Linked DNA regions of Schizosaccharomyces pombe. The gene in region 2 interacts genetically with the main gene of each other region. Each region holds a gene or a part of one and is shown on either strand. Other genes may lie near its edges.

Region 1 (6,277 bases), 2.0 Mb from region 2:
TGCGTACGGCACCAGCTGCCATGTTGTTTGATTTTAAGGCACCCCAAATAGAAAAATCAGCAGAGGTGAGGGAATAACCCACAAAAAGAGAGCGCATAATTAAATGGTCGTCTAACTGAGCAAGAAGTGAAGAAAGCTCAAGAAAGTTGTGGTTACCAGCTAAGGCAGAGGCAGTTTCCACCCAACTCTCAACCAAAGAACGATCGTTTTCGCCAATGAAAAGTTTAGGATAGACTTGAGAGAAAGTCTGTAAAGCCAACTTGGAACCGAATACAGGAGAATCAGAGCCGTTAAGCTGAATGGAGACGTTCGATTCCTTGTTTTGTTTGTCTAATAAAGCAACGTCCTCATACTTGACGGAAATGCTTCCTGCACCAGACAGATTCACATAATTTGCACATGCAACTGCACCATAAGCAATGGGCTTTGCTTTTAATGCAACACTAACTGACATTTTCCCAAAACCGGTGGTGAAAATTGTCGAACTTGGTTCGTGGTAAGTTGGTGTCGAAGTGATTTTTAGGGTATTAGTGTATGGTAAAGGTATGTTTGCAAAACACTAAAAATCCAAACCAGAAAAATTCGAACGCAGTACGAAGTTGACCGAAAAAAAAGGATTCTATTTAAGTACAAATTAGATTATAGATAAGGAATTCAAGTTCATGTCTGACCTTGATTAATTTTCTTTCCAGCATTTTTCGCTAATCTGCTAATTTTATACAGATATGAACCGAAACCGAGGGTTTCTCGTTATACTGTTTACCATTTTCTAACGTAAATCGGTATACCGATAAGAAAAGAGAATAGATACATAATAACAGAGTGGAGTTGAAACAATCAGAAGAATGGAAGAAAAGTCATTTTTTTGTTAATAATTACCTGTTAATCAGCTATAGGATTAAAGGAAAAAGTAGGAAAAATCATCTACCAAGTTAATTAATAAGATCTTTATCATCTCATTTATTTAGTTATCTTGCTATTGACAATTTTGACGATATCAAATACATATATGACATTTCAAGTACATTGAGAGTAGAAAAAGAGCACCTTTTATAATTGAAATTATTATAAATTGGAAAAAAATCTCACTTCAAAATAGATAGCTGCTTTGTTTATTTTACAGAAATAGCTAAAATTTGAATACAGCCATTTATAATGTACTTCATTGTATATAATATAAGGAACTCTAACATATCACGGCATAGTCTAGCGATTCATCTACTGAACATGTAAATATATCATTGTTTGCTTCGACAGATGTCTCATGTGGTTTTGCCGCGTGAGTTATACAGTAGATGAATTGTTTACAGCTATACAGTTTCCTTGTTTTTTTTATAACTGAGAAACCTTTGAGGTTTATCTGATGGCACGGTAATTATGAGATAACGAGTAGAAACCAAAAACTCACAAACATTTAAATGCAGTTCAGCAGGTAGCTGAAGTCTCTTTGACAAGCTGTATTTCTTCCTTAATTCTCATTTCGTGATGGTAATCAATTGTTTTCCTTACCCTGCCTCCTAACAAATTGCAGTTTGCTAAAAAGTGTTTACCAAATAGTGAGTCATAGTGCATTGACTGTAAATGTGAAAATTCGTCGTAATGCTAACGATCATTAAATGTACGGTAGAGCTAACAAATTAACTCGAGCAATAATAAAATTTCGCAATATGAAATAATGCATCTTTTGGAAACTTAGCGCGCGAATAAAGTATACACATGGACGGGTCTACTAGTACCTAACGATTATCGATGAAGCTGCAGCGTTTGTCAAGAGCACTTTACGGTTTTCGCATCTAATTAGAGAATATGGGAGGCCAAGAGTCAAAGTAAGTAACATTGCGAAATTTTCGTATGAGCTAACTGTTTAGATTGGCATTTCAGCGAGGAATTGCAAGATTAGCTTCTCAACCGGTACGGTTTGTGTTTATGGGTGGATGATACGCTAAGAGAACATTGCAAGCTAATTCTAGTAGGATATACCGTTGGATGATGAAGTTTGGGTTTCTGTATGAAATTTTTTTTATTAACTTGTGTAAGACGCTTTTACTAATGTATTCGTTTTTATGTTTATTAGCTTTGGAGTGTACCTGAAAGTTGTCCAGAAGTTTACGATTTTTTTCCCCCAGGTCTCATTCGTGAGATGAGGGATCATGCCTTTGTAAACCTTGAAAAATTGCTGCTTGTATTGACATCTCGTTTGTTTGCGTTGAAAAATGACAAAAAGTTTCCAAATCCTGAAACGGCACCAGCGAGTGAAGCGTTAAACTGCATTCGCCTACTTACTAGAATCATTCCTTTTTTGAATGAGAAACTCGATTTAGAAGAATGGCATCAAAAGTTTTGGTGGAGCCTTAGAAAGAAGAGAAATTTACCAAAGGAAAATTCCGAATTAGACCTTAGTAATTTTCAAGACGATCTAGATTTTGAAAATTCCATCTCCCAAAAGAACGAATTCTCGCAGAAGTCTCCTTCAGTCCCATTATCTCCTGTGAGCACCTTTCCTGCTTCTTCCATCTCCCTTGATGCTTCTTCAGACGTCTCTGCCGCTGACGTATCAGTAGGTGGTTCTAGCACAATCAAAGAAATTGGCTCTATTGAAGAAACTTTTACTCATGAAAAAACTTTAATGGAGGAATTGCTGGACACCGTCTTTCGTTTGCTTTTTTGCAGAGGCTTTACGCTTCCTCTTTCAAGTCCTGAGCAATATGCATACATTATATGGTAAGTATATATGTATATATATATATATTTTTTTTTTGTTTTTCGTTTGCTTTTTTATATTTGGTTAAATGCAATGTGTTAACTAATCACTTTTGCAGGGAAAATGGAATTGGTACAACAGAAACCCAAGAGAAAACCACAAAGGAACTTGCGTTTAATCGCATTGAGGTTCTTCGTTTGCTGTTAGTATTGATTTCTAAAAGGCTGTATCGATCTTCTGAAGTAGCTTCTCACACCCTTACTTATTTGACCTGTGTAGCAAATAAGCAGCTTATACTAGTTTTTCTTTATTCCCTTATAAATACTGTAAGTTTTGGCTTAAAATTTACCTTTTTTTGTTGTACAACTAACTTAGTTTTTAGACTTTGCGACTTAGACCTGATAGCTGGAAGGCTTCGTATTCAACTCTAGTACCTTATAATGATTCTAGCATTGCACTCTCAAAACTTACTTCTCAAATCCTTTTGCTTTTTTTAGATCACACCCCTCATGAAACAACAGTCGAATACTTCAGACAGAGACTCAATCTTTCTCCTGGCGCTGCTATCGAAAATCAGTATAGATTATATTTTTCTCGACTTCAATTACAAGCTGATTATGAATTTTTAGTTAACGAACTATATCGGCTATTGAATGCACCAGTTTCCGCTATCTCTGCCTATATTTCAATTGTACAAAAGCCTAATATCGCGTTTCCGGAAATTATTTTGTTTCTTTGGCAAGCAATTTTATATAATAAAGTATGTTCAACGGTCCTTTTATATATATTACATTATTTGTACAGTTGTTTAATTTATGTTGTTACGCGTTCATTATATTTGCTAACTAATTTAAAACAGCGTTTCCGAGCATTTTTGATCACTTCTCCTTATGCTACGGAGTTTTTAACTTCTATTCAGTTTTATGCACTTAGATATCGTGAAGACAATGAACATTCCGGCCTTGTTCGCATTTGCCTTTTTATCGTTCATTATTTATCATGCGAGAAGGTTCTTTGTGAAAAACTAAATAGAAACTGTATGAATGCACAATCATTGATGTCTTCCCTTGGGTTCTCAGTCCCACCAATGTCTTATGCAGAGTTTTTGATTATCGTAAGATTCACGATTAATTGTTTATTTTAATTTTATTACTTACGCCTTCCAGTCTAGCTTTCATATTTCAGCAGTGAAGAGATCTCCGTTTAGCAGTTTATCTCCTGTTATATTGTTGACCATATGCAATATTGCACCATTTGTTGAAAACCTAAGTTTCGTTACGTGTGCCAAATTAATGCAACTCTGTTCATCTCTTTCATCTCCTCGGTTTCTTTTTCGTAATCCGCGCAATCATCTGCTTCTTGAATACCTGTTACAGGCTATTTCTAGTATAGTTGAAAACAAGTTTTCTCAAAACCCTAATCTCAGTTATTCTATTATTCGCCTCCAGCAAGTTTTTTTGAATCTTAATTCTATGAAACTTCCTGCCGTTGCTCAGACTAAATCACAGCCTTTAGTGGCCCTCAATTCGGAAGGAAGTAGTGATTTTGAATCTAAATCATCCGATAACACCTCCTTAGATGGAACACCACTCCAAAATACTGACTTTAAAAAAGTTGCTACCGTTGAAGATGATTCACCTTTCGATGAATTAGATAAATTTTCCTCCCCTTTTAGTAGCAGTAGTTCACGCGGTGGCTTATCACATATTTCGAGTAGAAATGTTTCGATTTCTGTCCCGACAGTCCTTCAAGATGTATTCTCAGATTCTCCATTGGTTCTGTCTAGAAAGTTGCGTGGGAAAATACCGGAAAATGTTTCTAGTTCAGAACTTATTAAAAAATGTGCATCCAATCCGTTTGGAAAAGATTTAGAAATTGACTCAAATTTGTTTGCACCTTCCAACTCGTGGTTTAATTCTTGGCATTCAAGACTTGAATTGGATTCTATTCTAGCCATTATATCTCAGTTTTCTCTACCTGTATACAAGAAAATGAATGAAGAATTATCAACTACTGACGAAGCTGTTAAACTATTAGCTAACTCTGTGCTAAATGATGTACATCCTCGAGTTCCCAATTTTCGCTACTTTATTTGGAGTGTCCCTATGAATAATTGGTTTCAAAGTCTTGTTTGGCTTTATACTTTGTCATTTGATGAAAAAGGTTTAATGGCTACTCCCTCTTTATTTACAACCTCTAAAGTGTACAAACAACATGGAAATATCATGAAAGTTGCATCTCCTGAAAACAGTTCTAACTCAATGGAGAATGCCACAAAATCTATACTTGACAAACTCGATTTGCTGTATTTACAGCTGCCAAGTAGTGTCAACCACGATTCCAGTTTACGCAACAAGTGATTCTTAAATTCAATGCGTAAATTAAAGTATACTTTTGTCCTAAAAAATATTTGAAGAAAACCCTGCATGCATGTTATGGTATCTTACTTTGAAAATTTATTGATTAAATTGTTCACTAAAAAATTATCTTGGAGGATTTGCATCCACATACTGCCATCATTTAATTATATACTGATGACCAGAATCTTGCCTTGCTAATTTTGATTTTTGAACTTTTCGATTTGTTTTCATTCTATTAATTAACTAAAAACTGGCTTGGAGAATCTTCTGCTCCAACCTTGTCACTAGCTTTAAAAAAGTCTTTCGAAGTTTGATTTGGAAAGTTGGTGTTTGAAAGTCAATCTCGTATACTTTAGAAAGACCCACCTTTATGAGAGAAACGATCCACTGATGCTAATTCATTACATGTATCCAAATCAATGTATAACCTTATATAGCAATGAATTGGTTGCTAAAAAATTCTTAGCTTTATTTCGCTACACTTATAAATCTGTTTACTATATAAAATAAAAAATCCAATTTCAAAAGTTTTGAGTCCCAATTTTTTGGGTAACGAGGATTACTTCATAAAGACCTTAGACCTTTCCTTTATTTTTTCCACAAAACTATTTATATTCATGAGTTTGTTTTGTAATTGCAATGAATAACTAGCTTGTCATTTACGAAAATTGCATATCAAAAGTATTTGAGTAAAATCGATATCCTGTTTGGCATAATGGTTCAATTTATAAAAAATTCGTGTGGTTAAGAGTAGAAATATATTTTCGATTTTGCGAAATGCTTAATATGCGAAGATATTGTATTTGAGTACTTCAAAAGAATACAACGCACAGTAAACCTTTTCTTTCAATAAATTATCAGGTAGAGGTGGCCTTATTACTGTTTTTTAATAATTTTTATGCTTAAATACCTATTGGAAGCAAGAAGTAATTATGATTACCAAAATTGACTCACTTCCAAAGGACCTAATTCGCAAAGTTGAAAATGGTGAAAAGTTGTTGCCAAATCAAGAAATCGTTTATTTTGAAGAAAAAACAGTCCCCTATAAAATTAGAAGTGATGAGGAAAGTTTTCCTTTGGGCAAATTGATAACTTTATTAGTAACTTCACAGAGCTTTATCCTTTTTGATGAAGAACAGAATTCTGGCTGGAAAATTCCATATGAAACCATTACTCTTCATGCGAAACAAAGCAAGGATAAGCCATATGTATATGT
Region 2 (4,966 bases):
CCACGGCCTTCACGAATTTCAACAGTCATAGCACGAGAAACGACATCACGAGAAGCCAAATCCTTAGCGGTAGGAGCATAGCGTTCCATAAAACGCTCACCCTTGCTGTTCAAAAGATAACCACCTTCACCACGGCAACCTTCAGTAATTAAACAACCAGCACCATAGATACCAGTAGGGTGAAATTGAACAAACTCGAGATCTTGTAGAGGAAGTCCAGCACGAGAAACCATGGCATTACCATCACCAGTACAGGTATGAGCTGAGGTGCAAGAGAAATAGGCACGTCCATAACCACCAGTAGCCAAAATAGTCTTGTGAGCACGGAATCTGTGAATACTACCGTCTTCCAAATTCATAGCAATGACACCACGACATTCACCACCTTCCATGATTAAATCCATTGCAAAATACTCAATAAAAAAGTTTGTGTTATGTTTAAGAGATTGCCCGTAAAGAGTGTGCAAGATAGAATGTCCAGTACGATCGGCAACAGCAGCACAGCGATATGCCTGTCCACCTTTACCATATTCAAGGGATTGACCGCCAAAAGCACGTTGATAAATCTTTCCCTCCTTCGTTCTTGAAAAAGGTACACCAAAATGTTCCAACTCCAAAACTGCTTTGGGTGCTTCTTTAGTCATGTAATGAATAGCATCTTGATCACCCAACCAATCTGATCCTTTGACAGTGTCATAGAAATGCCAGCGCCAGTCATCTTTTGTCATATTACCGAGTGCAGCGTTGATACCACCTTGGGCAGCGACAGTATGGGACCTCGTAGGAAAGAGCTTAGTAATACATGCAGTATTAAAGCCGGCTTCTGCCAAACCAAAAGTAGCACGAAGACCGGCACCTCCGGCACCTACAACGATAGCATCGTATGTATGGTCAATGACTGGATATTTAACGGATTCTGATGTTGAAACTTGCTTTGCTCTTAAAGGCTACATTGTTAGATTGTTTAGAAAACTGTTCATAGAGTAGAGAAACAAAGAAGGGTTGCTTAAAAATCATAAAATTTGCACCGCTTCCAAAAATAAGACGAGTCACTAAAAAAAAACATACCTGGCTTGAAGCTATTTTTTTTAAAGTTGAAGAAGTAGAAAATAGCTTCAGATTCCCTCCATTTTTTAGACTTGGAGCGACTTTTCGAAATCTGAGCATTATATGTGTTGGATGTGGTGGAAGGAGAAGCTTTGGTAATTGGGCATCTCTTAAGGAAGTACAGCATCGTTAAGTGCGGAAGTTTGAAATACCGCCCTTCTTATTCGTCAACTCCATAAGCGAAATCTAATCAATACTCTTCTATTTCCGTGTCTTTAACTTTAACTTACATTATTGGCTTAACCCACATCTCGGTTTAATGACACAAACTGCTTCAATACCATCATCATTCAGCTCGTTAAGAAAAGCAGTTTTAGTACTACTCGGTGAAAACCCAAGAACTACGTATAAAATATATTTTTACTATTGCTTTGTGCCTCCAAACTTTTCCGATAAAAATTAGCTAGCTAAATCTCGAGGACAAGACGCTTAGTTCTTCCAGAGTGTTAGTAAACAATTGTGCAAGTGCATTGAAGCAACAGTCAGTATTTTTTTTTGTTAATCTCAAACATTTATATCGTGAAATATTAATTAAACTGCTCCTAAGTTATGATTTATCAAGATGCTCCTCGCTCACTATTATACCGCATTACATGATAGTTTGGTAAATATATAAGGACTCTTGGAAGTTCAATAATAGTACAGGCACTTACTACAAACTCATCAATCATATCCCCACCGTTTATTTATATAATTAGATGGGTATACAAAACTAACATATCATACAATTCTCTTACTTTGAGTCTGATATCTGTTTTTGTAAGTCGTGTTCATACACACTTTATAAAGTGTTGAACAGAAAGCAATTGTTATAACTTCTTAGACAGGGTGATTAAAACAATTTCTATGATCCCTCAATGAATGTTACTCGTCTTTACTTTCGTGTCGCTGGAACAAAACAGTTCGCCCGATATGTGCACAAATATGCTGCATATTCCTCTACGAGCTTTCAAAAAAAGAAATCTCATTTCCCATCTCCTGCTACGCTCGATCACCCGGATGCCGGAGAAGACGCTTTTATAAATTTAAGGAATGAAAACTATATCTTAAATGCAGTATTTGACGGAGTTGGAGGCTGGGCGAATGTGGGGATTGATCCGTCAATATTTAGTTGGGGATTGGTTCGGGAAATAAAAAAAGTCTTTAACAATTCTGACGAATTCCAACCAAGTCCTCTCACTTTACTTTCCAAAGCATATGCAGCTTTGAAGAAAAGTAACACTGTTGAGGCTGGCTCAAGCACTGCTTGCCTTACATTGTTCAATTGCGGAAACGGTAAACTTCATTCATTAAAGTACGTTATTTGTTCATTGGTTCATAAATTCTTACTAACTTTATTTCAAGCCTTGGTGACTCAGGATTTCTTATCCTTAGAAATGGTGCTATCCATTATGCATCACCTGCCCAAGTACTCCAATTTAATATGCCATATCAATTGGCTATATATCCTAGGAACTATCGTTCCGCTGAAAACATTGGGCCTAAAATGGGACAAGCAACTGTGCACGACCTTAAAGACAATGACTTGGTAATTTTAGCTACCGATGGCATATTTGATAATATAGAGGAAAAGTCGATCTTAGACATCGCTGGCGTCGTTGATTTTAGCTCTCTTTCGAATGTTCAGAAATGCCTTGATGATTTGGCTATGCGCATTTGTAGGCAAGCAGTTTTGAATTCGTTGGATACGAAATGGGAATCTCCATTCGCAAAAACGGCAAAGAGTTTTGGTTTCAAGTTTCAAGGAGGGTACGATAAAATAATTTATATGTGAAAATATATTAACAAGCACATTAGGAAAGTGGATGATACTACCATTACATGTTTACTGATAAAGTCCAAAAATTATGAGTAAAATTAGTATCTTCTTCGAACGAAATACGCTTATATTGAATTACTTTAGTTCATTAAGGGTCCTTGAATCGTTCATTTCAAATCATCTGGACCAAAAGAGTCAGGAAGTAACTGCCAATCATGTTAATGACATTCAAGTAACGCTTGCATACCTCTTCTATCGTTTTCATATCATAACCCCCGTCGTCATGAAACATATAAACATTTATATCCTTCGAAAATTCACGAATTCTTAACAACGTTTTGTTAGTAAATTCAACGGAAGGATTTCTTTTTCCTTAACTGTCAACTTACACTTGACGACAAATACCACAGGGCGTAACTCTTCCCTTGGCACTCATCACTCCAATAGCCATAAATTTAGTGTAACCCATGCTCTTTTAAGGTTGATGTGAGTTATAATGGTCAAAGCGGTAGCAACTCTTCACGCGCAACTTAATCTTACCACTGCTTTTGTAATTGCTACTCGTTCGGCACAGATGCAATTGCCATATGATGCGTTTTCAACTGTTTGATACGTTAGATTTCATATTTTTTGAATTCGGTACAATCTTTTTACCATTAGCTCCATAAATATATGTATTTTTATCGTCGGATACTACGCATGCACCTACTGCGAAGTTGGAGTAGGGACAATATGAATATTGTAAACTCTTTTTTACTTCTTGAAATAACTTCTCAATATCTTCTTTTTCCATTTTTTGAGTGCGACTAGATTTATTTTGTGAAAAAAAAATAACTCCGATGCACAAAAAAATTGCAGAATATATATACAACCTACTAAAACGATATTATCTAGCAATGTTGGAAGAAATGTTGTGAGCTGAGCTCCCGGTATATCCTCGGGGCAACGAATACCAAAGCGTATCCACTATTCCGTTAACTACTATCATTATTTTTCTAATACAATGATGTTATTACGAGTTGAAGATTGAAACTGTAAAAGTGATCAATGTTATACCACTTCAAAAGAATATTATTTTTCCAATTATGTAACCGAATTCCATTCATCGCTCTTTCAACATTTTGTTACGCTTCTCTCTGCGTCGCCGACGATCTATCACCTTTTGGTGAAGTTTAGCTTGCAACAATTCCATTCGTTCACGGTCTGCTTTTGCTTGACGACGGGTACGGATTTTTTCGGCATGAGCCTTATGAATAATTAGTAATGGATATGATACTACTGATAAAGAATACTTACAGCACGCTGTTCTTCTTTCTCTCTTTTCAATTCCTTTTCACGCTCTTTAATCTCATCTAACTTCCGCTTTTGTTCCATACGCTTTTCATACGGAGTTCTTTGAGCATCAGCAAGGCCACTTCTGTTGTACGCCTTTTTCTCAGTTTTCCTAATTGTTTAATAAAAGCTTTCTCATACTGATAAAAAGCATACCATGGTTTTCCTAAAGAATTAGTACTTAATAAACTTGCTCAATTCCATACCTGAAACACATACACCCTTAGTTCCATTAACCATTGTGTATCTGGTTTTTGGTACAAAATTTCTTCTAAACCTCTATTGAACCATCGGTCAAACTCATTAAATTTGGTTAACGTAGTCTCGTTTTTACAGTCTAAATTATTTCAGTCAGTAAACTAATTCGGTTGTAAAATTGTCTTTTGTAAAGTGATAATCGCCTAATATTGAAAACCAAAGTTCTAAAAGATAGCAGTTTATCTTAACAAATGAAACGAAACTAGACATAATGACTCCTGCCAACGAGAGTGTTTTGGGGATTTTTTTTACAAAATTGTCTTGAGACAGCAAATCAAAGATACCTGAAATACTTAATACTATTTTTCATGCTAATTTTTGTTCTGTTTTCTACTCGAAATAAATATCCTCGGTAAAGTGTTTGGCAGTAGGAAAAAATACACCTTAAACTTTCTGAGGGGTTCTCATTGTTTTTTTTTTAATATTTTACTGATATTTCGATTAATCGAATTATGCGTGAACGAATACGTTTATTAACGGTTAAAATACCTGTTGGCGTATGATCATACA
Region 3 (3,812 bases), on a different chromosome or scaffold from region 2:
TGAAAATTATTCTATTATTTCTACTGCCGCTGCGAATGGAGTATACGAATATTTTGACAAGTCAATGAAAAAGAACTGGGCTGGACCCGAACATTGGCGCATTCAGGCATTGAGAAAAAATATCAATAACGCATCAACTGTATTCAACTCTTCCAATACGGCTGAAAGTTCAGATAATGTATCGCGTTCTCTTTCTTCCACGGAACGGAAAAAGCGTCGAGAACTTGATAACGCCATTGATTTCTTGCAGGAAGTAGACGTCGAAGCACTGTTCACTCCTGCAACCAGCAGTCTCAAGCTTCCCAAGTCTCATTGGAAAAGACATAATCGATGTTTACTACCTGATGACTACCAATATGATTCTAAGAGGCTTTTACAGCTTTTCTTGAAACCAAAGATGTCAGTTCTACCCAACGCTGATGGAGAAGGACAGCTACAACTGAATAAAGCCTTAGATGATGAGAATGATTTGGACGGTATTCAACCCCATGGATTCGATTCTGATGGCAGTGATAATGTTGATGAAGGAATACCCCCGTATGGATTTGGAGATTCCGATAGCCCTAAGCAAACACCTCTGCTTACACCTCCATCATCATCAGGATTTGGTGATAACCTTTTGTTAACTGCTCGTTTGGCAAAACCAGATATGCTGAATTATGCGAAGCGTGCTAAAAAGGTTGATGTGCGAGTACTGAAAGAAAAGCTATGGAAATGTCTAGATCTTGAAAACACAATTAAAGAAAATTCCATCAACTCTCATATTGAGGGTTCGGAGATGGAGTCAGAAGAAACCAACATGCCAGTCAAATCTTTTTTTTCCACTGTCAATCAATTAGAGGAGACATACGAGAAAAAAGAACTCAAAGATATATCCACCAGTTTTGCCTTTATTTGTGTTTTACATTTGGCGAATGAACATAATTTAGAGCTTACAAGCAACGAAGATTTTTCAGATGTTTTTATTAGGCCAGGTCCTAACTTGACGACGCTAGAAGCATTAGAAAATGATGTTTAAAGTGTGTAGAATCGAAATGATGCAGGTCATCATTAATTAGTCATCATCGCATACTTTTAGCTAGCGTGAATCATTTTCAAGATAGCCGGAAATTATACTCTTTTTGATCTACCTTGAATAATAAAAACACTAGCTCGTATTTTTAGGCTGTTACTACTTTTTGACATTGAAGAGTTGTGAAAAATGAAGAGTGCAAATTGCATTTTGTGGAGCAAGCTGACAGCGAAATTTTTTGTAAAAAATACACCTTCCTTTTATCTTGTGATCGTTGAAGACATCAGTATCTTGCTTCTGCCTGTTAATTCTGTTGGAACTCACTTAGCAGTTGACTCTTTGGAAATAACGAGATATTGCATTCATTACATGCTTCTATTCTCGACAATATAACAAAAAATAATAATTATTTATTGTCTCTATGTGAGGTTTTTTACCTATAATAGGATTAAATTGTACCAATATACGGTTATTCATATATTGTGAAACCCTTTCAAAGTTAGAACATATCGATTTGAGTACAGAAATGTAGGGTAATTTTATCTTTTATGTTAATCTTTCTCAAGAATCTATTTTTTTTTGATACAAATTATTAAATGAATTATCAGAGAAAATGAAATTTGTCAATGACCAAGCTGTAGAATAATTTCAACACCGTCAACGAATGGACTTTGGCTCAGTAAAATAAAGTTAAAATACATCCTTTTAGTTAAAGAAATAGGTTTATAAGCAATCTATGAACTTTCGCAGCAACGTTAGTTCATCTAGTTTTACCATAGATTTGAAATAGCGTTTAAAGCAAAATTACGCTATATACGATAGTGATTCATAATTTAAATAAAATGAGTTATGCAATACAATTATTACAATTTTTTCTGTTGCACAATATCTATTTAGCGTTGCTTTCTCAATGTACTTTACAGTGGGTAACAATCAATGGCTTAGAATACTTTGTCAACATCCAGGAAAAGTAGAATTTATCCTTTCCCTATATCTAAGACACCTACTACGGTTTTTCATAATGTCAGCACTGTCGTTGAGTATTACTAAAGTTTCGGAGACTTTCTCAGAAATTTACGCTTCAAGGGTATGAATTAATGAACTATGAGTAGTAAACTTGAAAAGATCAATTCACTAACGCAAAATGGTAGGCTCAGTATCTAAGTGGTTTTAAATCGGTGGGCGAGTTCTTGGATGTTCGTAGAATTTCTAGACCTAGGAATTTCAGTGAAGCTCAGTCGAGAATTAGCTTCAACTTTTCGAGGTTTTCTTCTAACTATCTTGCAATCATTGCTATGCTCGTTATTTACGCACTTATCCGTAACCCTTTACTTTTAATTGTCATTGGAATTGGTGTTGGTGGTGTTTATGGTATTCGTAAGCTTCAAGGAGCTGATTTACAACTTAGCCATCGTGTAATTTCCAACCAAAATCTTTATGTCATTCTAGCATGCGTGTTGATTCCTCTTGGGCTGTTCGCATCTCCCATCGAAACTATCATTTGGTTAGTTGGTGCTTCCTGTGTCTGTGTATTCGGACACGCTGCTTTCTTTGAGCCTCCTGTTGAATCGGCATTTGAGACTGTCGAGCAACAAGTCTAAAAAAATTGTTTCTAACAGCCTCTTTGGTTATCTTGGTACAGTTGCTTTAATTTTCGTACATGTCTTTACAAAGGGAATACTGGCATTTCCTACGCTTACTCTTCTTTGACAAACAAAAAGAGGGAAACTGTACGCCGATTTTAAAGAAACTAGCTTGCTAATCATTTTATTATCAGTTATTTGCGTTTCATACTTTTTTCCTTTTAATACGTTAATACTTCATTTGTAATTTTTTAGATTATTCATTTCTGCGCTCTTTGTTTTACGCCTTTTCGTCGTCTTTTTCAATGACTCTATCTGGCTATCTTTATCTTGCCTTTACTTTCTTGAAATTATGGGATAAAATGACTTCTAAACTGCGCATTCAGCTTCATCTAGTACTATAATAACTAGTTTGGCTGCTTATATGAAGCCAGCTATGATTTTCACCTCTCTTATTCTTTTATCTTAGCGTACTAGACGTTTTTCCTCGTTTCTTTGTCAAAGGTCTACTACCTTTTAAGGATAACTTCAAACTATCCTTCCTGGGAAGAGAAGAATTTTTGCATTTTTGAACCGGGTTTCGTTCAATATATTTAGTTCGTTCTTTACACTTCAGTGCATTTGGTTAGTTAATAATTTCTAGTCAAACATTTGCTTTACTTTTAATTCATGTGTATAATTAATTGTTTATTTTTACTTGATCATTTTTTCTTTTGTCGCCAGTAAATTATGTAGAGTGGAAAAACAATGTTTGGTATTTGGAGGATATGGAAAACATAATCAAATATTGAAGAAAATCAGTTTGTACTATCACAGATATGCCTTACGATAATATACATAGATTCCCATCAAGCATATTCATATATACATGATAAAAGCCAAAAGAGTCGGAATATATTAAAAGTAAACGTTTCACTTACTATTCGACCTTTTTAATCATAACTATGCAGTTGCGCGTATAATCTTCATCGGTAAACTTATCATTTCATGGCTTTTTGGATATATGTGCACTAAAGCTTTTGGTAATCAATTGTACCTTCAAGTTTCTTCAGGTCAGCAACCTTACGAGCTGCGGACATTAAATCGGACTGAATGACATAGTCGCGATCTTCTTTAATGGCTATGAATCCTGCTTCTGTAACCACATTCCGCAAGTCAGCACCATTTGTTCCATCTGTCAGTTTAACCAATGCTTCATAGTCAATTTCGCCTTGTTT

What was found. A genetic interaction does not mean that the proteins touch.
Region 1: mutations in azr1 (region 2) and ftp105 together harm fitness more than expected from each alone (negative genetic interaction), as found in Schizosaccharomyces pombe (one large-scale study listed by BioGRID).
Region 3: mutations in azr1 (region 2) and yip3 together harm fitness more than expected from each alone (negative genetic interaction), as found in Schizosaccharomyces pombe (one large-scale study listed by BioGRID).

What each region holds. Positions count from the first base shown.
Region 1 is NC_003424.3:1,784,632-1,790,908, forward strand, and holds ftp105 (Ubp5 interacting protein Ftp10), read left to right. Parts: upstream 1-1,738; 5' UTR 1,739-1,806; coding exon 1,807-1,826; exon of another isoform or gene 1,827-1,868; coding exon 1,869-1,911; exon of another isoform or gene 1,912-1,973; coding exon 1,974-2,006; exon of another isoform or gene 2,007-2,074; coding exon 2,075-2,721; intron 2,722-2,819; coding exon 2,820-3,027; intron 3,028-3,083; coding exon 3,084-3,461; intron 3,462-3,560; coding exon 3,561-3,815; exon of another isoform or gene 3,816-3,867; coding exon 3,868-5,061; 3' UTR 5,062-5,724; downstream 5,725-6,277. Other genes in the region: gus1 (glutamate-tRNA ligase), read right to left, coding at 1-454; protein saf5, read left to right, coding at 5,994-6,277. UniProt on the Schizosaccharomyces pombe protein: Required for the localization of ubp5 to the Golgi apparatus. Involved in detoxification of cadmium ion.
Region 2 is NC_003424.3:3,797,280-3,802,245, forward strand, and holds azr1 (mitochondrial protein phosphatase Azr1), read left to right. Parts: upstream 1-1,750; 5' UTR 1,751-1,964; coding exon 1,965-2,401; exon of another isoform or gene 2,402-2,451; coding exon 2,452-2,856; exon of another isoform or gene 2,857-2,904; coding exon 2,905-2,962; 3' UTR 2,963-3,033; coding exon of another isoform or gene 3,034-3,072; 3' UTR 3,073-3,113; coding exon of another isoform or gene 3,114-3,192; 3' UTR 3,193-3,255; coding exon of another isoform or gene 3,256-3,338; 3' UTR 3,339-3,406; coding exon of another isoform or gene 3,407-3,468; 3' UTR 3,469-3,520; coding exon of another isoform or gene 3,521-3,659; 3' UTR 3,660-3,968; coding exon of another isoform or gene 3,969-4,112; 3' UTR 4,113-4,162; coding exon of another isoform or gene 4,163-4,310; 3' UTR 4,311-4,354; coding exon of another isoform or gene 4,355-4,364; 3' UTR 4,365-4,404; downstream 4,405-4,966. Other genes in the region: succinate dehydrogenase Sdh1, read right to left, coding at 1-947, 1,069-1,167; cdd1 (cytidine deaminase Ccd1), read right to left, coding at 3,034-3,072, 3,114-3,192, 3,256-3,338, 3,407-3,468, 3,521-3,659; CGR1 family ribosome biogenesis protein, read right to left, coding at 3,969-4,112, 4,163-4,310, 4,355-4,364, 4,405-4,438. UniProt on the Schizosaccharomyces pombe protein: Confers azacytidine resistance in high copy.
Region 3 is NC_003421.2:407,045-410,856, reverse strand, and holds yip3 (Rab GTPase-binding protein), read left to right. Parts: upstream 1-1,991; 5' UTR 1,992-2,033; coding exon 2,034-2,099; intron 2,100-2,163; coding exon 2,164-2,613; 3' UTR 2,614-3,259; downstream 3,260-3,812. Other genes in the region: condensin complex non-SMC subunit Cnd2, read left to right, coding at 1-1,018; proteasome regulatory subunit Rpt4, read right to left, coding at 3,606-3,812.